Linked DNA regions of Lepisosteus oculatus. Each later gene encodes a partner of the first gene's protein in a complex. Links are inferred from orthologs where the notes say so. Each region holds a gene or a part of one and is shown on either strand. Other genes may lie near its edges. The genes, in order: bud13, cwc27 and cwc22.

Region 1 (7,005 bases):
GCAATAGAGGCTGGAAAAGAAGATGTTCATGACCAGACTCGTTAGACGCTTGTTTTCCTCGAACAAAGTTTTATTTAAAATTATGAACGAGCAGTGCACCCTCTCCATACCCACAAAACTGCTAAAGAAAATGTGAACAAACAGAGGGGGCTACTGTTAATTCCATAAAAACAATTCCAGAAAAATATTCTTAATCATATTCGTTACCCTTTTACACCTGACTTGCCAATAAACAGTTTAGTCCATTTTTAACACATGATCACATTAAAACTTGTTCAGAAAGTCTTGATATATAATATTCGTGGGTCAAAGCTCCACAGCCGAAACATGTTTCTTTTCTTCTCTTTTCAGCTGGAATAAACCTGTACTTTTTCCTCTGCAGCCCACATATGCAGACGCAGCTCCCTACGTGAACTACTTCAGTGTATATATATATAAAAGCATGAATATTAGATATCAATAGATGTTAATTTATATCAAGTAGTATAGATTGGGATATTTATAAAATTGTATGTAACTTCTGAATAAAGTCTTATTTATGGAAATAAATAATTTGTTTATTCTTTTAAAAATACTTAAACTATCATCATTTGAAATTCAGTGAAAAATTACTAGATGAAAAGACCATCAAATGTTTGAGGAAGAAGTCAGTGGAGTCGTCTTACTGTAAAAAGTCCAACAGTTAAGTCATTTTCCAAGAAAGGGTGTTTAAATACCTCCCTACAAAAAATATTCAAAATATTTGCCCATGAAGAATGTTAGTTGCGTTTACCTTAAATTTCTATATTTTGCTTTCAGATATTTAAAATTAGGAACATAAAGATGTTACACAGTTTTTTGTTCTATAGAAAAAAACGTCTCAAAGTTTCTGTATGGACACATGGTATTAATATATAAAACTCCTGTCCTCAAAACCAATCGAGGGATAAAGAAAAGCAGGTTTTAGAAGTGTATGTGAATATGAAAAATGCCACATTTCCTTAAGAAAAAACGAACACACTCATCTTTTATCGCCAATAACCTTCTCAAGAACTTTTTTTGCTTTTGCTTTTTGATAATGGCTTTTACATGTTTTCCTTCCTCTGCTTAGATTTAACTTTTATTTCCAAATATATTAACACAATGTGAGAGAGAATAATATGATGTAGTTTAGGTATCCAATTAAACCTTAACATACATTTGAAAGATTTTAAGTACAGTATTTTAAAAACCTTTGTCAGGTAAATAATGTTTAATGTAGATGTTTACTGGTGATAAGATGCACACTGTACTTATAAATTAAAATAAACACCCCCACAAAAAAAACTTTGTGTCAGTCAAGAAATGAAACTGAAACCATTTTACTTTATAAACCGATACTCCTAACTGTGCCCAAAGATCTGGACTAAATTAAGTTAAAACAAGATTATATAAACATTGGCTTTCAAAATAAAAACAAATAAAAAAATACAATTACAGTTTATTCAATCTCATCCATGACACTCATGATTTCCAAATTTCTGGGTATTTCGTTATTAATAGAGAAAACAAATTATGTTCTTCATTAAAGCAGTATATTTTATCCTTATTGAATAATTAAAACATTTTTATCATCAATTTATTTTATTGTTATATAGAGCCTTTTCAAGACACTTTTCATACATTGTACAGTAAAAACAAGTATAGTATACAGAATACATAATAAAACCAGATATCATTTTAAAAATGAAAAGAAAGAAATAGATGAAGAAGTAAAGGCTGCCAAAAATGATAAGCTTTAAGGAAAACGTCAACACCATAACAATTACAGAATTTCTGTATGAAATGAAAAGTGTAAAAGTGCTACACTGCAGTAGTAGACAACACCTAATGGCACAGTTACAGTATAAAGTAGCATATCAGGTAGTCCAGGTGGGGGGCTGCGTCAGCATGCGTAGTCTGCAAAGGAACAAGTAACAGGTTTGTTCCATGCTGCTGTTTTCTCTCTTCTCTTTTCAGCATGGAATAAACCTATTACTTGTTCCATATCATATAAAGTACATTCAACCTGATATAAGTGAAGAATCGTTTTTTTATCAAATAAAACCTTATTTAACAAGATGAGTCAGCTGAGAGCACATTTTCATTTACAATGACAAGCTGGAGAGTCTTCATTAATACTGCAATCGGAGTGCAGCTTCCTCCCCAGGAGTACGATAGCAGCATGGCTCCAATCCAGAGTGATTCATCCTGTTGTACAGATTATATCAAGGCCCACATTGTTGGAATCCCCATTAGAAAACCACACCCTTAGCAGTACTCTTGGTCACAGCAAAGAAATGAAACTGAAACCTTTCCACCAAAGAAAAATGAGTTTCTGAACATGCAAAAACAATGTACAGTAAATGGAGTTAATTTATTCTTTGTCTAATATCCTCAAAATCATCCTGGATCACACGGACCTCTAAATAGTACAGTACTGTATACCGTCTGTGCTGTTCACTTGAGCTGACAATTCAAGACATTGCTTAGATTTATACACTTCCAATAGACAGAGAAGACAGAGACACAGACCAACAGTCTGACATACAGTAAAGTTAAACAGCTAAACAGAAAGATATTTTCATCTGAACACCAGATTTCCCTGATCATTTAGCATTGATTTTAGCAACCCGTACAACTTTGTACTTTGAACAGTGGGGTTGGCTGATCGCTATAAAAATATATTTATAGTTTTCCGTTTCTGATTAGGAATTATACTGTAGGTTATTAACGGTGTAAAGATAATCTCCAGGTTTTGTTCTTTGTTTTAGACTTACATGTGAGTTCAAATAGAAAGATATTTTTATCTGTACACCAGATTTCCCTGATTGTTTAGCATTGATTTTAGCAACCTGTTCAACTCTGTGAGGAAACGCAACATTAAGTATTTAGTCATTACTAATTAGAATACAGTATAAGATTATAAGAACAGTTACTGTTAAAACAAGAGGTGGCCATGCCCTGTGATTAGCCCATTTGGTAGTTATTAGTTAATTGATCTGGAAGAATCTCATCCAGCCATTTCTTGAAGGAAACCAGAGTATCGGCGTCAAGTTCTCCTGTTTTCTGTTCTTGGAGTTTTCACTTGTGTCCCTGTGGCTTGTGTTTCACTGTTTGTTTTGGAGTCCCTTGAGAAAACTCCTTCGGCAGCTTGGAGAATTTTGAATACTTGTATGAGCTCCCCTCATATTCCTCTCTCCTCGAGAAGAATAGACATGCATCCCAGATGGGCAATCTCGTTGAAATGCTACAGAACAGCAGGTTTTATAGCTTTTACAGCTGTGTATTAAATTGTCCATCCCCAAACACTTTAGGACATTTAATACTTCAGTAATAAATATTATTTTTTATTTCACAAGGCAGCAATGTCATCGGTTTAGAACGAGTAAGAAATGAACATTCTGAAACGAGTGACATCAATATTACATTTAAAAAAATAAATATAGCTCAATAACTGGTGGCAAAAAAAAGCGTATCACTGCCTAATTTTATGAATACCTGGAATGTTATTAATCATATTCCTTTTTTGGTTTTTAGTCTTAAATATTTGATTAGGCAACGTTTCCATTAGAGCAATAAGTATAGCAATGAAAGAAACAAACAGCTTTCAATTTATGTTTCAGTTCTGTGGGTGAGACATTATTGTAATAACCTAGTACTGTGTCCGAGTATTGGATAAAAACACTAAAAGTGAGTTTGATTTAACACTGCAGACTTTTTCAGAATGCATGTTCTAAGATACAACTACAAATAAACTAATAATAATACCTATGTTTTGTTGTGGCTGCTTTGAAGTATTTATCCTTTACTTTTTCTCTTATTCGTAATTCCGCTTTTCGCTGTTTATTTTTTCGCGTTTACTGTTTTGACCCCATCCGGCTCTCCGTCAGCCCGGATTGTTTTCACGAGCAGTAATGGCCGCTTCCAGTGCGCTTGCTTCTGTCTCCAAAGCCGAGTATCTCAAACGCTATTTATCCGGAGATGGAGATGGCAAAACGTCAAAAAACAAGAAAGCCAAGAAGAAAAGACCGCAGTCTACAGCAAAGGGGTATGTTTCAGGAACCAGTGACTCAATCAGGCACATTAGAAATGCAGAAAGTGACTGAAAGTTGTAGGCCGGACTAAACTTACTGAGATACTGGAGTGGAGTGTATGAGCGCAATCGAGAGCGTTGTCTTGATTTTACCTCTACGAGCCGCATAAAACGCTACAGTACTGTATATGTGAGGTTATATTCTCAATAACCCAGGTTGTGGAAGTCTTGAGAAATGTATTTTTGAAGCTGTGCTGTGGGGTCTGATCGTTCTGTTGTGGGAAACTCGAAAGAGGATTATTGGTCGCAAGGTAATTTGGGTCTAACATGTCCAGTGTTTTCAGCTGCAAAGGATCTCTGCTAATCTCTGTGTCGGACATGTTTTCCTGCTCCTCTGGTATTGTAGGACCAGTCTTTCTCTAAAAACTTCAGGAGTCCGGCAGAGAAGATCCTGTTGGACACCTTTCATTGGGGAAAAAGTGCTTCCTGAATGAGAACTGAGAAGGATTTCTAGGAATCTTTTAAGAGACACGTTTATGTCCATAGAAGAGCTTTTGACGATTTATCGCAATACTGTTCAAGGGAGAGTTGATAGATCACGCCTGTTTATCCACAACAGACCAACAGCTATGACTCTTTTTTTAAAGCGTTTTTATTTGTGGCAGGCTACATGTCGGTGATTACAAAAAAGAGCATTCCTGCTGTTTTTTTTACGTTTTGCCCTCCTGTTGTTGCTGCTGCTTGCAGGATGAGAATAGTGGATGACGATGTGGACTGGAAGCAGCTGATAAAGTCAGAAGAGAAGGACGACTACGAGGAGGAAGAAGAGGCTCCAGTGGTAGGAATTCCTTTATAGTTTACATTCATTTACAAATGCATTGGCTTAAACTATGTTTAGGTGCATTTCTGCTGTCCTGAACCTTGTGGAGAATCTTTGCACAAAAGCTGTTCCTTCTGCGTGCTCTGTTGTCGTCTTCCTCTTGTAGGTGGCAGAAGTGATAGATGAGCGTCCGGAGGAGGTGAAGAGACTGGAGGAGTTCAGGAACAGCAAGCGGTGGAAAACTTTGGGAGGTAAGAGTAACCGATGCTTACCTGCTCTTTTGGGGCTAGCATTCTGATGATTTAGCATCTATAAAGTTGTACTGTAATTGTCTAGGTGCATACATAATATTTGATTTGAGTTTCTAAGCAGTTTTATCAAATATTATTATGTTTGGTCTTCTAGGTACTAATGAAGATTTTCAGGATTCAGACAAGTTCCAGGGTGTCCGTTCATCAGCAAGGTACAGAACTGATGTTTAATGTATTTTAATTTTTCTTATGATTGTCTCGGCTTTGTATGTGGTACAGTTCGATGCATGTCTGTTAAAGCAGCTCAAATGCTATGAGATCATTTTGACTCACAAGAGGCACTTCCACTGTTAAATTATTAATGAAGAATGCCCCCCAAGAAGCAACACTGTTAGGAGCATTTGTTTGTCCAGGCTTTCAGTATTGGAGTATAAGAGACAATAATGAGCTGTCATTGAGTTTCTTTGGTGCTTAAAATGTGGATATTTCTAAAACATTACAGATCATAAAACAGAATACATTAAAACAAGTGTGTAACATTTGAGTTCATCTGTGTAATTGTCCATTTCAGTTCAGGAGCTGCCTCTCAAAAGAGAATAGAAGAGACATCAAGAAAAGGTCGTCATGATTCTCCAGATTTTTCCTCTGTGAAAAGGAGCCGTCATGACTCTCCCGACCTTTCACCCCAGCAGAAAGGTCGCCACGACTCTCCCGACCTTTCACCCCAGCAGAAAGGTCGCCACGACTCTCCCGACCTTTCACCCCAGCAGAAAGGTCGCCACGACTCTCCCGACCTTTCACCCCAGCGGAAAGGTCGCCACGACTCTCCTGACCTTTCACCCCAGCGGAAAGGTCGCCACGACTCTCCCGACCTTTCACCCCAGTGGAAAGGTCGCCACGACTCTCCTGACCTTTCACCCCAGCGAAAGAGACGTCACCACTCTCCCGACCTTTCACCCCAGCGGAAAGGTCGCCACGACTCTCCCGACCTTTCACCCCAGCGGAAGAGACGTCACCACTCTCCCGACCTTTCCCCATCGAGACAGAAAACTGTCCCCAGAAGAGCACGTCATTATTCCTCATCTCCTTCTCCCCCAGTTAGAAGCCACGGGGGCTCTCCAGCAAGAACTCATAAGAAAAAAGACAAAGGTAAAGAGCAATTTTACTTATGTACAGTGTAATATTTTTAGAAATAAGCCATTTGATATCTGATTATTTTATACCAGTTCCCATTCATGACCCTGTAGGGATGCATGAAATCACACCATCTGGCTTGGTTCAGTTTTGAATAAGTTTATCACAAAAGTCTCTGGAGAGTCAAGCTGTGTATAAAAAGTAATCTATAGCACATACATCACACAGTGTATATCCATCAGCAGCAGGTGACAGACCTTTTGCGTCACCATGTAAAGAGTGGAATATTGTATCAGGAAGAAGGTTTCTGTCTGGACGCTAGTACATAGATAGTCAGATAGTTCTCAGTTTTGACTGCAAAGCCGGTATTCACTTACAGGTCAGGAAGTTTGAAGGTAATTAATGGCTTTCAAAGCTTTGTCACGTCACATACGAGCAGCATGAGTTTGATTTCTCTTGTGAACGTAAACCTTTTGATAGTGTTTGCGTTGTCATTGTGTCACTCAGGGGAAACTTCAGGTTTTGTTTCTTGTTTAAGTGCGCTGTGCATACTTTTCAAGAACAGAATTGAAAAGCACTAATTTGTCTGTTGCACTATATATAAGACAGAGTAAAACTCTTATTTAAGGTTAGTATTCATGTTCTTCTAAGTAAAATACTGTTAAAAGTTGAATAGTTATAGTTGTATTTCATATTTATTTTCTTATAAACGTCTGTTTTCTGAATATCTATAAATGTTTAAATGGGGCCAACTCCCTATCTAGTCC
Region 2 (7,327 bases), on another chromosome or scaffold:
TGTTTGATGATCTGAAACATTTCAGTGTGACAAACATGCAAAAAAATAAGAAATCAGGAAGGGGGCAAAAAATTTTTCACACCACTGTAAATGTCTATGGAAAGTCAAGTCAAACCTGAAAAAAAAAAGAAAACAAATACCCTGGCTGTGAACAGGTTAAAATTTCACAAAATACAAAACGTCTGCACTAATTTTCTAAAAGACATGCAGTATTCCCCTTCATTCAATCGAGGATGCATTTTCTCACTTGTCCACCTAATTGATTTATTTAGTAGGGCTGTTGGCATCCAATCCAGAAGCAGGCAGGTACTTACTCTTCGCAGTCGAGCTTGCCTGCACTCGTTCATTCAGAACTTCCTGCTCCTCTTCCTCACTCTCCTCACTGCTGGTGCTGCTCACATCCAGGACGATGTCCTTCCTGGGATCCACACGCACAAAGTTTCGGCACTCAAAGGTCAAGTGACCAGCTGAAACGTAAACAACCAAAGCTGGACATGAGAAGTGAGAAGTTACCCCCTGTGATAAGACATCAGAAAAATAATCGATCTGTCAAATGCCCGAAATGTGAAAAGACAAAATAATGTATCCTCTTTTACAATTAACAGTCTGTGAGCTTCATCAGCAATCCTGAAGAACATTTTATAACAACTGATGTGTATACTCAAGAGACCCTCAGGTGAAATCCTGAAAACAACACTTTGCAGCTCAAAATTCAAAGATTCCCTCCCACATTCTTCCAGTTCTACAGTTTAATGAGAAAAGACTTAAAAAACTGAATGTCTGACCACAGAGTCCGGTGTTGTTTGCATCAGTTGCCATTTTATGTGAGTAGACAGTGTTAAAGAATATTATTGGGTACATGAAATGTAGAAGAATAGTAGTTGAAATAATGTTCATGCAAAAACCTGTCTAGAAAATAAATAAAATTTCAATTCAAACATGGTTTTATTTTTAGATGCAAAACCAGATACTTTCCTTCACAACAGTCTCATTAAAAACACTATGGGTATTCAAAACACAAATTACTTACTATCCATGCCATCTAATGCTGGTACAGTACATTTCCCTTTAAAGACTACAACTCATTAATACATTCTTCAGGAAAAAAATCTACTGAAAAAATCTTGAGAAACAACAGGAAAATACTCACGGTATCCACACTTCTTGCATCCTGCCCTGATATTATCCTTGTTAGGACCTTTAATGAGAAATAATGTGACATTATTTCAAGCACTATGAAATCCTTTTCATTTTTTCAGCTTTCCTCAAAATTTCAAAGTGTCTCTCAAAGATGAAGCTTGAACTTCTGGGGGAGTTTTGTCACAGTAAAGCACCGTACATTTAAAGTACCTCTCTGCAGTTAAAAGGTCAAGTACTCCAAAGCTTGAATTCATTAATCAAACACAGACAGCAAGAAAGGAAATCCTTACGCTTCTAGGTAAGTGCACTGCACCTTCATAATTACCTTTTTGTTCCACTACTATTAGACAGGAGACACTTCTCCTTCTGTAGCAAAAAGGCTCTTAACAAAAATCATCTGAAAATTACCTTATTGAAAAGGGCTCTTTTCCAAACCCTTTTAAGGAGACTAAAATAATACCTCCTGAGGTGAATAAAGTATTCAGGAAAGGAAATATAAAATGTGAAAAGCCTTTCGAAGTTCAAGATTCAAAAGCTGAATCAAATGTTTCAAAATTATTGTGTGTAAGTCACTACAGGACCATTTCTCAGAATGATTATGATTATATTATACTATATAATAATATATAAGTTTTATATTTCGTTTTATTTACTCAAAACTTTTTTGTGCTAAAATATTAAGACTAAGTATTTTCCTTATTTTTAATTAAGATGTGACTAAAGTTCTAAATGATGTCACTACAACTGGAGACAAGCACTACTGCACTTATTTAATCTCAAAACCAGAATTGCTAAAATGAAGGTTAAAACCTTCAATGAAAAAAACCTCTACAAATGGCACATGTAAAGATATAATCTGAACTATCTGAAAAACCAAACGACAGTTCATCAAGTCAATGGTGGGTTGGCAACGTCTTTCTTTACAGCAAAGATCTCTGTGATGTACTGTGACATTCAACATGTTTTTATGTAATGAGTCAATAGCAAATATGTACAACCTTTCAGAGTAACAATTCAAAATCAATGTGTTCTATTAAAAATTTAATAGAAGACAGAAAATGACTTCCTGAGCTAAATACACCATAAAAGAAACAGCCACACATGGTTTTGTAAGCGCTGCAAAGTTAATGTATCAGTCTTGTTTAGACTTTAATTGATAACTGCTTGGTTAAAAATAATGTAGATTTATGTTTATATTTAGTTTTATTTATTCAGAACTTTTTTGTGCTAAAATATTAAGACTTAGTATTTTCCTTATTTTTAATTAAGATGTGACTCAAGTTCTAAATGATCTCACTACAACTGGAGACAAGCACTACTGCACTCATTTAATCTCAAAACCAGACTACTTTAACTTTAATTCAGCCAAGAAACTCTCTCAAATCTTTTCCAGAACTGTGGAAAATGGGTTTATGGGGGTAAAATAGCAGTGTTGTTCTTTTGTAAAGCCTTGAGCTATGATCTGAAAGATAATTATTATTACTATTAATTTATCAGATTACTTTATTCAAGAAGCCCAAGATTCTAAGCACCCAATTCAGAACACAACAGACAGTGGCTTAAACAAAAACATACCTAACATTACCTAGCTAATGTCAGGCACTTAATTTAGAATTATTTAGGACGGAAGCACCTTGATACATTACATTAGACCATATACTAATCTCAGAATCGTAATTCCAGTGTGATTAAATTGTTCCCTTATTAAACAATGTTTTTTCCAGACTTATACAGGGCAGTGACAGCTAGTCTATCAATGGAAAATAACTAGTTTACACCAAAACAAGACAGTCACATGGACCTAAAATGCCAGCAGACGACACAGAAATTTCTCTTCACACACCTGAAATCAGCCCTCACGGATGCTGAAATTACACCAGTTTAAGTCTTATACTAACTAAACCTAAAAAAGGATGTAAAAGCTTGTAGTAATGAAAAGCGTATTAAGCAAAACATAAACATAATGTGAATAATCACTCGATGTACAGTGCCTTTAAACTCCAATTAACGTAGTGAACTGTAAATCTAACAATCATACTCTGATACGGCTCCAGAAACAGTTTCAGTTAATATCTTTACACTAAACAAACCCGGATTCTTGAAAGGAATGAGCGGACGAGAGCCTCGGTTCAGCTACTGACTGCCAAATGCGTTACAGGGGCCGAATGGCCGCTTAAAGTCTGCAACCTCTTTTTACATTCTTATTAATGATCACCCTAAAAAAAATCTCTGATCCGTGATGGCAGCGTGCTCAGATTTTGAGAATACACAAGGACCCCCAGGCATTTACTGTTATTCATTCTATACTATACATGACTTCTGCACTGAACACACGAAAGACTACGTTTATTTGTTGTATGCTTCCAGTCACTCAGATATCTTTAGGCAAACTCTGGAATTAGCTTATAAGATGAAAACTAAAATATAAAAATATATCTATTAAACTGAGAACATCCTTAGTTACAGTACGTCTTGCTGTACTTCAGAGTCCCAAAACACAGCTACTGTAGCTCAGGATTGCTAGAAAATTCTCACTGCAGGCGTAGAGACAGTATCTTCCCCAAACCTTAATTTGCTTTCCCCCCCAAACGTATACTGTCAGCACGCATTCACACAAGATGATTTTCAAAGATTCGAAAGATAACAACCTGGAAGAGCCATGGCGAGACAAAGATATCCGTAAAATAAAACCAAAGCTTTCCGAAATTCAGAGCGTATACCTCACTTTCAAAACTTCCCGAAAGCTCCACCAATTAATGCACTCCCATAGGAAACAAGAATCACTTTCATCGTCTTGTTGTATTACATCATATTAAATATCTTAGACTTTTGTAATAAAACAAAAAAAACATAAATAATATCAATTTGTTGTTGCTTCTCTTAAAGCAAAAAGTATGAACGTAGCAAAGTAGGACGTGACGATAATTTTGAATTACTGTAATACTCATGTTAAACTCACAGTTACACAAAGTACACTGCAGATAAACTACAGAGGCTTAGTTACTGTCTGGTTATAATTTATTAACTTTCAAACTTGTATAACGTTTAACATACACATTATTCCAAAATTACAACATCACATTTCCGAAAAAGAAGAGGAATGAAAAGTTAATCAGCGGAGTTCACATGGTTTCCGTGGGGTGTATTTAGTGTGTAACACTGAGAAAACAGGGCTAAACCAAAGGCTACATTTAAAATGATGCTTTAAGTAATACATTTCATTTTATTACACATAAATAGAGACGAACAAACTTTCTAATTTAAAAAATGTATTAAATATTAAAACTGTTCTTTAAAATACTTCTTAAACGTTAATATTCTTTAGTTACCCCCTGCTTATTGTGGTTAAGCCAGTTTTTTTTTATACTTTAGCAACATGGTGGTCTGTTCGTTCAATTTAGGTTGATTGTGGGATTTTCACAGTGTGAATCTAAAAGAGTTTATATATTTTTGTTGAACATCGCGGGCGATTTTTTAAGGTGTGGGGCTTTTGTGTTGTTTTAAGCTATAAGGGACCAAGATGAGTAACATTTACATACAAGAACCCCCGACTAACGGCAAGGTGAGTGTTTATCCATATTACAGTGCTATACTGTATGTAAATTTAACATTAAATTCCCTACTCTTTTGTCCTGCATAAAACTTCATTTGGTGTGCTCGTTGCTCTAGGAAAACAAGCATGGTAATTCTTTTGCACAAGTGTTGCTTCAGTTCAACATTGACTCCAGATACTGTGTGGCATAATGTTAGTTATCCATTTAGAGCTATACATAACAAACTGCTTCAGTACAAAATTTTAAACAGACTCTGTTATACCCCCAGAAAAAAGTGAAAAAGATGAAGTGGCATAATACAGGAATGTGTTCCAAATGTAACACACATAAAGGATCATTATTGCACTTATGGTATTGTCAGCACATACAGTCGTTCTGGACCTCCACAGTGGGGAAAGCTCTCAGGCACCTAAATATCTCAGTTCCACTTACTCCCATTACATGTATCCTTGGTGATTTATCAAAGGTGGACTAAATGGACTAAAGAGGCTATATAACAAGTACAATTTGAAGAGATTTAATATAATTTACATGGGAAGGTTCATGAGTATAGGAATGTTTGGGGCCCATTAGAGACATACTTGAATGGCACTGGATGTTAAGAATATTAGTAGGAATTTATTTTTTGTAAAAAATTTTTTTTGGTATTGTCTAATAAGAACAAAAATGAAAGGGCGAAAAATAACAAATAAAGAAGTCCTCCAAAGTTGGTTTTTGCTTTTTACCGGCAATGATTAATGTTTCCTTCTCCTTCTGACCATCACTGACAAAATCCATGCAGATGCTATTAAACAGGGAGCTGGTGGTTGAATATGATAAGGCATACTGTGTAGTCAGTGTAGAGTGAGAGATGTAGGCTAAAATTATTTATTATTCCAGAAGTTTATAGCTGCACACAGTCATTATCTTTCTTCTTAATGACATTGATTATTATTTAGAAACATGGATCTGTCTAATAAAGTTGTGAGATTAATACAATGAGGTTTTGAGGATGAGGTTACTGACATTAACTGAGGTTAATGACGGGTCAGTCTGTTGCAGAAGTAACAGGTCTTAGCATGATAAGAAACCTTTAAGGCTAATTCGGCCCATCTTGGACCCCTCTTTATTATTAATGTAAATCTCTCAGGCTTCAGTTAGAGGAGGGTCATGTTTCCAATGATCTGAGATTAGCTAAAATGAGGTGTTGTGGCCAATGTGACTTTGCACCTCTTAGAAGAAAATCTGAGGTTTAATGTAAAATTGTACTGTATTCTTCATAATGTACTGAAATATAACTTAAATAATAGATTCATTTACTGGTAAGGTAAAAGAAATTGTTGCTTCATTTAGGTCTTATTAAAGACAACAGCTGGGGATATCGATGTGGAGCTTTGGTCTAAAGAAGCCCCAAAAGCATGCCGGAATTTTCTTCAGCTGTGTATGGAAGGTAAGGTGCACTTTTGCTTCATGTCTCTCCTCTCTTCCCGGCAGCTGTAAATCTTAAAGCTAACCTGTGCAGATGTGGCTGGAGAGAAGTGTAGGAAGAATGTAACATAAACTGTTGAAAAAAGAAGGGCATTAGGGTTCAGTGACAGATGTGGGACAGTGGAACATTAATTGTTCTTCATGACCTGAGCTGAACTTGTCTACATGCATCAAGAGACAGCTGTGGGAGGGGTATCAGGGGCTTATCATGTGTGCTGCACAGTGGTGCAGTGGTTAGCAGCGCTGCCTCACAGCGGTGAGGCCCTAGGTTCAGTTCCTGAGGTGTTTGTATGTGTTTCCTGAGTTTGTATGTTCTCCCTGTGTTCATGTGGGTTTTCTTTCGGTGCTCCGGTTTCCTCCCACAGCCCGAAGACATTAATGAAGTAACGAAAATCCAGGAAAATGCCACCTCAAGATCCTGACTTATGCTTTTGCTTACATTGTGTAAAGTGAAAGACAGGATCAGTACAAGACGAGGCCAGATAATTAAGATCAATGATGAAGATCTGCAGAGATAGCCCATTCAGCACATGCATTGCTGCCTCACAGTGCTGGGGCCCTGGGTTCAATTCCAGACATTGGGTGTTATCTGTGAGTTTGTAGGTTTTCCCGGTGTTTGCATGGGTAGGTTAATCGGCTTCTGGAAAAACTGGTGTGATGTGAGTGTGTGCATCTGTGTGTCTGCCCTGAGATGTGCTGGCCACCCTGTAATGGATGGAGCAGTTAGAAAACTGTTGCTTAAACATGTCAAAATGCTAATGTTTAAACATTAAACATGGGAAAATTGGCCCTGGTGTGAGTGCATGCGTGGCTGTGTCTTATTGCCCAGTGATAGACTTGTGTCCTGTCCAGGGTGTACCCTGCCTTGCACCCTTTTCTTGCTGGGATAGGCTCCAGCTCTCCCACGATCCTGTACTGGGTAAAGCAATTAGAAAATGGATGGAATACCAGCAGGCCTCCGAGTGCTTCTGTATGGATAGTCAGGTACAGTAGCTCCTCTCTAGAATCTATGCAAAATAAGTCCTGCTGCTGTAGTGTTTCCATACAGGTGGCAGATCAAACATTACTTATGCTTGATTCAGATATTTGGGACTTGGAATCCATTCTTGACATCTGCAGCAACAAAGATATAGGAGGTCAACCGTACCTCTGTGGCCTTATGACCA
Region 3 (7,098 bases), on another chromosome or scaffold:
TAGGACAACAATCAGTCTTACACTGCACAAATCTGGCCTTTATGGAAGAGTGGCAAGAAGAAAGCCATTTCTCAAAGATATCCATAAAAAGTCTCGTCTAAAGTTTGCCACAAGCCACCTGGGAGACACCCCAAACATGTGGAAGAAGGTGCTCTGGTCAGATGAAACCAAAATTGAACTTTTTGGCCACAATGCAAAACGATATGTTTGGCGTAAAAGCAACACAGCTCATCACCCTCAACACACCATCCCCACTGTCAAACATGGTGGTGGCAGCATCATGGTTTGGGCCTGCTTTTCTTCAGCAGGGACAGGGAAGATGGTTAAAATTGAGGGGAAGATGGATGCAGCCAAATACAGGACCATTCTGGATGAAAACCTGTTGGAGTCTGCAAAAGACCTGAAACTGGGAAGGAGATTTATCTTCCAACAAGACAATGATCCCAAACATACAGCAAAATCTACAAAGGAATGGTTCACAAATAAACGTATCCAGGTGTTTGAATGGCCAAGTCAAAGTCCAGACCTGAATCCAATCGAGAATCTGTGGAAAGAGCTGAAAACTGCTGTTCACAAACGCTCTCCATCCAACCTCACTGAGCTCGAGCTGTTTTGCAAGGAAGAATGGGCAAGAATTTCAGTCTCTCGATGTGCAAAACTGATAGAGACATAGCCCAAGCGACTTGCAGCTGTAATCGCAGCAAAAGGTGACTCTACAAAGTATTAACGCAAGGGGGCCGAATAATTTTGCACGCCCCACTTTTCATTTTTTTATTAGTTAAAAAAGTTTCAAAAATCCAATAGATTTCGTTCCACTTCACAATTGTGTCCCACTTGTTGGTGATTCTTCACATAAAATAAAAAATTTATATCTTTATGTTTGAAGCCTGAAATGTGGCAAAAGGTTGAAAAGTTCAAGGGGGCCGAATACTTTCGCAAGGCACTGTATATTTGATGTATTTTTTTAAATTTTGAACTATTGCATTGCTGTTCCTCGTAGTGTTACAGCTACTCATACGGTTCCTGTACTGTATTTTAGATGAGTACTGCAGTAGTATTGCACTGGAATCTATAGTATTTCATGCATGTAAACATGTTATTTTATTATTGCATTTACTTGAGTTGTAGTTTTTCAGCCTTTGTAATTCTCCCTGGCATGAAAATCAATTACAGGTTGATGTTTTAAGGCCTCATTTTTAAAATGGACTATAATCTTGAGAATCTTCTATGGAACAGAAATTCATGTGTTTGACATTGCTATAGAAAAAGCTCAAATGTCACAGTTGGCCTTTTTCTAAGTATAGTACAATGCTTGCATTCAATCTATCAGTATTTGCACTTGCCTATATGGAACCTGATGTTGTATTTTTGAACATCCTCTTTTGTGAACATGTTCTACTTAAGATCTCTTCCAGATGCAAGAACATTGAATAACTTTCTTAAAATGTGGTTCCAGCTATTTAAGTTCTTAATTAAGAAAGAAAAAGGAAGGCAGTTTCTAAGCAATTTTCTCAACTCCCTATCTTAAGAAATGTCTACTAGAGCAAATTAATTCATTGCGCTATATTGATCATGCAAAAATAAAACCCAGCATTTTCCATGGAATGGTAATCTTAGGAAGTAGCTATTTTTCTCATAATTAGACTAGCAGAGACATGTAAAATATTTAATAGTGTTGTTGATGTAAAAACTGCAATCACTGGCTGTTCAGATTGATGGATTGCATTGAAAGTGATTATATAATAATTTCAGCAAACAGATTAGTCTGTAACACAATGTTATTAATAAAAGCTTAGTATAATATATGTATATGATGGTATCATTATGACTTGTATAAGCACCATGACCTTTCTAAAGCTATCTTGCTTGAAACTGTGCAATTCATGGCACTCCTATGGTCTTGACCTGATCAGCAACTGCTAAAGAGCCCTATTTTGCATATGTGTGACCAGTCCTTGACCGATTTCTGTGAAAGTCAACTGTCCAAGATACTGTCATACCGGTTTTGTGCTATGTATAGGCTGCTGTCCTACAGATTTGGGATTTTTTTTCACAATACACAGAGCATTGCCACCTTGCATTACCCAAAGGCTAACACAATAAATTATTAACGCCACTCATAGCTTCAGTTCTATGGACATTACTGACTTTATGGTTGTAAAAAAAAATATTTCTCAAGTAAACTGTGCAAAAAGAATGTCTCTGTTAAAAAATGCTATTCTTTTGAAAATCAAGAATATTTTGGTCCTTTCCACACCATTTACTCCACCAAAGTAGCTTCACTGGCAGCATCGTAAAGCATAAAGTGTCTCCTTAGGGAACACACTGCCATAAAAGTGGATGTGAGATTCATCATTAATGCCACCTCTGCCCCATGATGTAAAGCCTGCTCTAGTTTTTCTTGTCAATAAAAAATGTGTTTTCATGTAAACCACGAAAACAAGGCCAATGCCCCAGGGTAAGCAAATGCTTAACCATTACATCTTAGCTTTTATTCCAAAGACTCCTGTGGTTTTCTTTCTTTTTGTTCAATAAAGCTTAAAAAAGTAGAAAGGACAGTATTCCAGCCTTAAATGTGAACGTCTTCTTCTCATGAACAGACACTGAAAAAATATTCTGCTCTTCTGGAGTATTTTGTTGAGAATTCCTATACAAATAGAGTATGAATTTATTCCTCTCATTGACTCATTGAGTCATTTTCTATGTTTTGTTCTTACTGTATTTTTTCTGTGATGGCAAATCCTGTACTTAAAGGAGAATCTTTTTTAGGTTCAAAAGCATTACACCATCATTTTAGGTTGTACGAAAATCGGCAAAATGGAGGAGGAAACATGCACACACATGAATGGAAACCTAACTTTAGGGTAAAGAGAAATAAACAGTGCTTGTTAATAATATTTCATATTTACACATACTGTACAGTGCTAATTAGCTCACAATTTTATATGTTAACAGCTCAGCAGGTTTCCCAAAGTAACATAAAATCTCTCTCAGCATTCATACTTAAAGCTAAAAATGAGAAAAGAATGGAGGTATTTTAGTTAAGATTTAAAGTATAATATACCATGGATATTTTGTAATATGTACAGTATACAATGTCTCCATATGCAGTAATCAAATGCCTTATCAATATATCCATAATAAATAGGAAAATCATAATTCGTCGCATTTATGTGCCACTTTGCACCCCAAAGAACTTTACATATTTGAAGGGACCCATATTATCCACCAAAGGAAAACTGCATTCAACTGGGTAATGTGTGGCACCCATTTTGCACCACTAGCCCCATAAACAACAGATCAGGGGGAGAAGTGAGAAAATGCTTCACCTATTAAATTAAAAAATTCAGGTTGTACAAATTGTGCAGACCTAAAATGGAACTTATCTAGTGAAACAGAGCTCATCCCCGTAGTCTCACAAACAGTGTCCAGGGACTTTAACAACAACCAAACTGCCAGGACAGAAAAGCAGTTTGTACGGCACAGTATTCCTTATTGCCATACTGGGGTATTAGTTTTAGAAATCATGCTTCAAAGGAAATAGTTACACCTACTGGTCTACTTAAAACACATACAGCAGCAACCTTGGTATCTTTAGTATCTTTATCCCAAAAATGACCAGACTTCTGAGATCTGAGATCAGATCAAGTCAGGATCTAAGATGTTAATGCTGCTGTGAAGCATTCAGCTCAAAATATTACTGTAATGTTAGAAGTCATACAACTGCTACTTACAGCAGTCTTTTTGTTGTTCTTTTGTATGTTGCAGCTTTCCGGCTGTGCTGTGTTCGTAGACTACACTGAAATCTTCTTTAAAAATGATCTACAAATTGCTGATGAAAACAATAATTAACGATCTTTAAAATCACTAGACACGTTAGTTAAATCTTGTCTAGAACACAAATACCTCTATCTTTTTATCACTCCCTATAGTGCTGGTAAAGTAACGGTCTATTTTAGATTTCGATACACTGTACTGTGATTTCGAATTTCGCGTTCTTTTGCTGATGTAGCAGGTAGTGTGAGGCTCACCAATTCGTGCCGTTTGAGCACTACAAGGATCCGTAGGTGATCTTCACTTGAGGAAAGATGGCCGCGGAATCGAATGAAGTTGAAATTGAAACAAGACGCGACTTGACTGCAACAGAGGAGGTAAAAATAAAGTATTTTCATGTTCTTTGAGTGATATTGTTGTCATAGTTTCATAGGTAAATTATTTATATAATATCACTTCAATGTTTAGGCGTTCTGATCGTCGTAGTAAGGTTAAGCATTGACGAAACGTGTACAGGCCTTCCCTGTACTATAAAGAACTCCGGTCTGTCACACATGGCGCAATGCAAGTAAACATTTCTTCCCTTGGGTATAAAAACTATTAAAAATATTTCTGCATTATGATTTTAATACATTTCCTAGCTTAAAAAGTTTTTTTTCCCCTGTTACTAATATGACCCAGGTTTAATTAGTCGAAAATAAACTATTACTAGTATACGCATTTTTGGTTAGTTTATAACTAAAACATTGTTGAATAAAACGCGTTTGTCTGCATCATCTAAGGTAAATCTGGAGTTGTAGAGACGATAACTTAGTTATCAACAATATTAGAAAAGTGTACGTAAGCTTCTCGCATTTTGTTATTGTTAGGCCGAATTTAATAGGAACAGGTGTTGGTATATTTATTCCATTTTTCCCTCGGATACTAGATCCGTAAGTACACAAATTATGGCGACGAAGTTTTTATAGATAGTTCTAGTGCAGGTTTAGATTCGGTGGTTGTATAAAATGTTTTGGAAAACAATTAAGAGTTTTATTTCGTCCTGTCTGTGATGCGTTACTGGTTCCAGGAAGATTGTAGATGCTTTTCCTTCCGTTAATATACACTTGTGGCACTGCTTCACTCTTAGCGGATTTTCTCAAGATAAACTGAAATGTAGGCCTACATGCTGTGAATATTGGAAGTAGCAGCATACTCCATTTGATGAGGAGAAGTTCAGTTACCTCAGTGAATTGTGAGCATGTCAGTTACCCGTTTTCTAAACGATAACTGTTTATCGTTCAGTAAAGGCCATAGGGTTCATTTATGGTGAATTTATGTCGTTTATGTATTTTATTGATTATATGTAAAACACCCTTTCATTTGCTTTGTGGTGGAGGAAAACGTTAATGCCAAATGGACTGGTGTTGAAAATTCAAGTATTTATCCGTATTTTTCTGATACAATTAATATAAAATAGTCAAATAAGATAGCAGCACTAATTAAAATTATAATAATAATAATAATTATAATTATAATTGCTTACACTTATATAGCGCTTTTCTGGACACTCCACTCAAAGCGCTTTACAGGTAATGGGGTCTCCCCTCCACCACCACCAATGTGCAGCATCCACCTGGATGATGCGACGGCAGCCATAGTGCGCCAGAACGCTCACCACACATCAGCTATTAGTGGGGAGGAGAACAGAGAGTAATGAAGCCAATTCATAGATGGGATTATTAGGAGGCCATGATTGGTTAAGGCCAATGGGAAATTTGGCCAGGACGCCGGGGTTACACCCCTACTCTTTTCGAGAAACACCCTGGGATTTTTAACGACCACAGAGAGTCAGGACCTCGGTTTTACGTCTCATCCAAAGGACGGCACCTTTTTACAGTATAGTGTCCCCATCACTATACTGGGGCATTAGGACCCACGTGGACCACAGGGTGAGCGCCCCCTGCTGGCCCCACTAACACCTCTTCCAGCAGCAACCTTAGTTTTTCCCAGGAGGTCTCCCGTCAAAATTGAACATTGCCAGCTGTTGCTTAGCACTGCTTTTACTTTTCACTAGTGTAATATGTAGACAGTACAAGTTGTTTGAATTTTCTCCCCAATACCTGTGGTTTTGTGAACCAAAACCAGTTGTGAACCGTGAGATCTTCAAACATTTTATCGTCAAGATCAATTTGATTGCATTATACATATAATTTATGTAGCATCTCTGATGGTATTCTAGTTCCATCTCATACCTGCAGATTCTGAACTGATTTTTGAACGCAGGTAAATTGAGTGGGAAAGATAGAATTTTATTGTGAGGGAAATGTAGTTAAGGAAATGAAGTGTCACAGCATGGGGAAATCACTGAGTCTAATAGTGTAAAAAAAGTCAAGGGTGTGTGTTAGTTTTGTCGGAATGTTATCTTTTTATTTGTTATCTTAGTGTAGAATTAAATTCTGAATGTTTTCAAATGGTTTTGCATTCTTATTATTTAGAAAATGTTTTGAAAGGAATAAGCAGTCTGTCTAAAAAGTGTAAATCTCATGGGTGGTACTGAAAGGCAGGTGTGACTTTTATAATAATAATAATAAACTTTATTTTATATAGCGCCTTTAAAGGTGGCTTCTCAAAGCGCTTTACAGGATGACAATAACAATAAATAAGAAGACTACAACAATAAATAAGAAAATTTCACAAGACAGGACACAATTATAATTACAACAATACAACAATAACAATAGAGGAGACCGTGGAAGATGGTATTAAGAAGAGCAGAGGGGTGAAGAATGGAACCAGTTAAGTAAAGGCTTTTCTGAAAAGGAGGGTTTTGAGTATGGATTTGAAGGAGTTTAGAGAAGGTGACTCTCTAATATCCTTGGGCAAGGAGTTCCAGAGCTTGGGGGCATAGCAGGCGAAGGCCCTGTCGCCCATACAATGTAGACGGGCTTGGGGGACAGTAAGGAGGGCAGAATTTGAAGAGCGGAGGTTGCGAGGTGGGGAGTAGGGCGATAAAAGTTCAGACAGGTATTGAGGTGCCAAGCCATGTAAAGCCTTGTAGGTGAGCATGAGGATTTTAAAGTCTACGCGGAATTTGACCGGAAGCCAGTGCAAGGACTCCAGGATAGGAGTAATGTGAACACTTGCACTAGATCTGGTCAGGATTCTGGCTGCTGAATTTTGGACATACTTTTAGATATGTTTGCAAAATCTATTCTCTTCTGTAGCAGCAATGACATCTAAGACTGACATAAAATTATTGAAGCTGAATATGCTGACATATTTTTTAACAGAATTGTGAGACATTTACTTTGAGTTAATAATAATTCTTAATTCCTCACACTT

What was found.
Region 2: bud13 (region 1) and cwc27 share a complex: the UniProt entries of both Homo sapiens proteins name them as parts of the activated spliceosome. The link is inferred for Lepisosteus oculatus from reciprocal best matches to the Homo sapiens genes BUD13 and CWC27.
Region 3: bud13 (region 1) and cwc22 share a complex: the UniProt entries of both Homo sapiens proteins name them as parts of the minor spliceosome. The link is inferred for Lepisosteus oculatus from reciprocal best matches to the Homo sapiens genes BUD13 and CWC22.

The regions. Positions count from the first base shown.
Region 1 is NC_090718.1:5,138,944-5,145,948, reverse strand, and holds the start of bud13 (BUD13 homolog), read left to right. Parts: upstream 1-3,901; 5' UTR 3,902-3,914; coding exon 3,915-4,048; intron 4,049-4,780; coding exon 4,781-4,871; intron 4,872-5,019; coding exon 5,020-5,104; intron 5,105-5,258; coding exon 5,259-5,316; intron 5,317-5,675; coding exon 5,676-6,253; intron 6,254-7,005. UniProt on the Homo sapiens protein: Involved in pre-mRNA splicing as component of the activated spliceosome. As a component of the minor spliceosome, involved in the splicing of U12-type introns in pre-mRNAs.
Region 2 is NC_090698.1:27,600,092-27,607,418, forward strand, and holds the start of cwc27 (spliceosome-associated protein CWC27 homolog), read left to right. Parts: upstream 1-4,315; 5' UTR 4,316-4,660; coding exon 4,661-4,702; intron 4,703-6,026; coding exon 6,027-6,123; intron 6,124-7,327. Other genes in the region: protein SREK1IP1, read right to left, coding at 315-467, 1,151-1,198, 3,789-3,801. UniProt on the Homo sapiens protein: As part of the spliceosome, plays a role in pre-mRNA splicing. Probable inactive PPIase with no peptidyl-prolyl cis-trans isomerase activity. As a component of the minor spliceosome, involved in the splicing of U12-type introns in pre-mRNAs.
Region 3 is NC_090707.1:19,010,385-19,017,482, forward strand, and holds the start of cwc22 (pre-mRNA-splicing factor CWC22 homolog), read left to right. Parts: upstream 1-4,061; 5' UTR 4,062-4,088; coding exon 4,089-4,151; intron 4,152-7,098. UniProt on the Homo sapiens protein: Required for pre-mRNA splicing as component of the spliceosome. As a component of the minor spliceosome, involved in the splicing of U12-type introns in pre-mRNAs. Promotes exon-junction complex (EJC) assembly.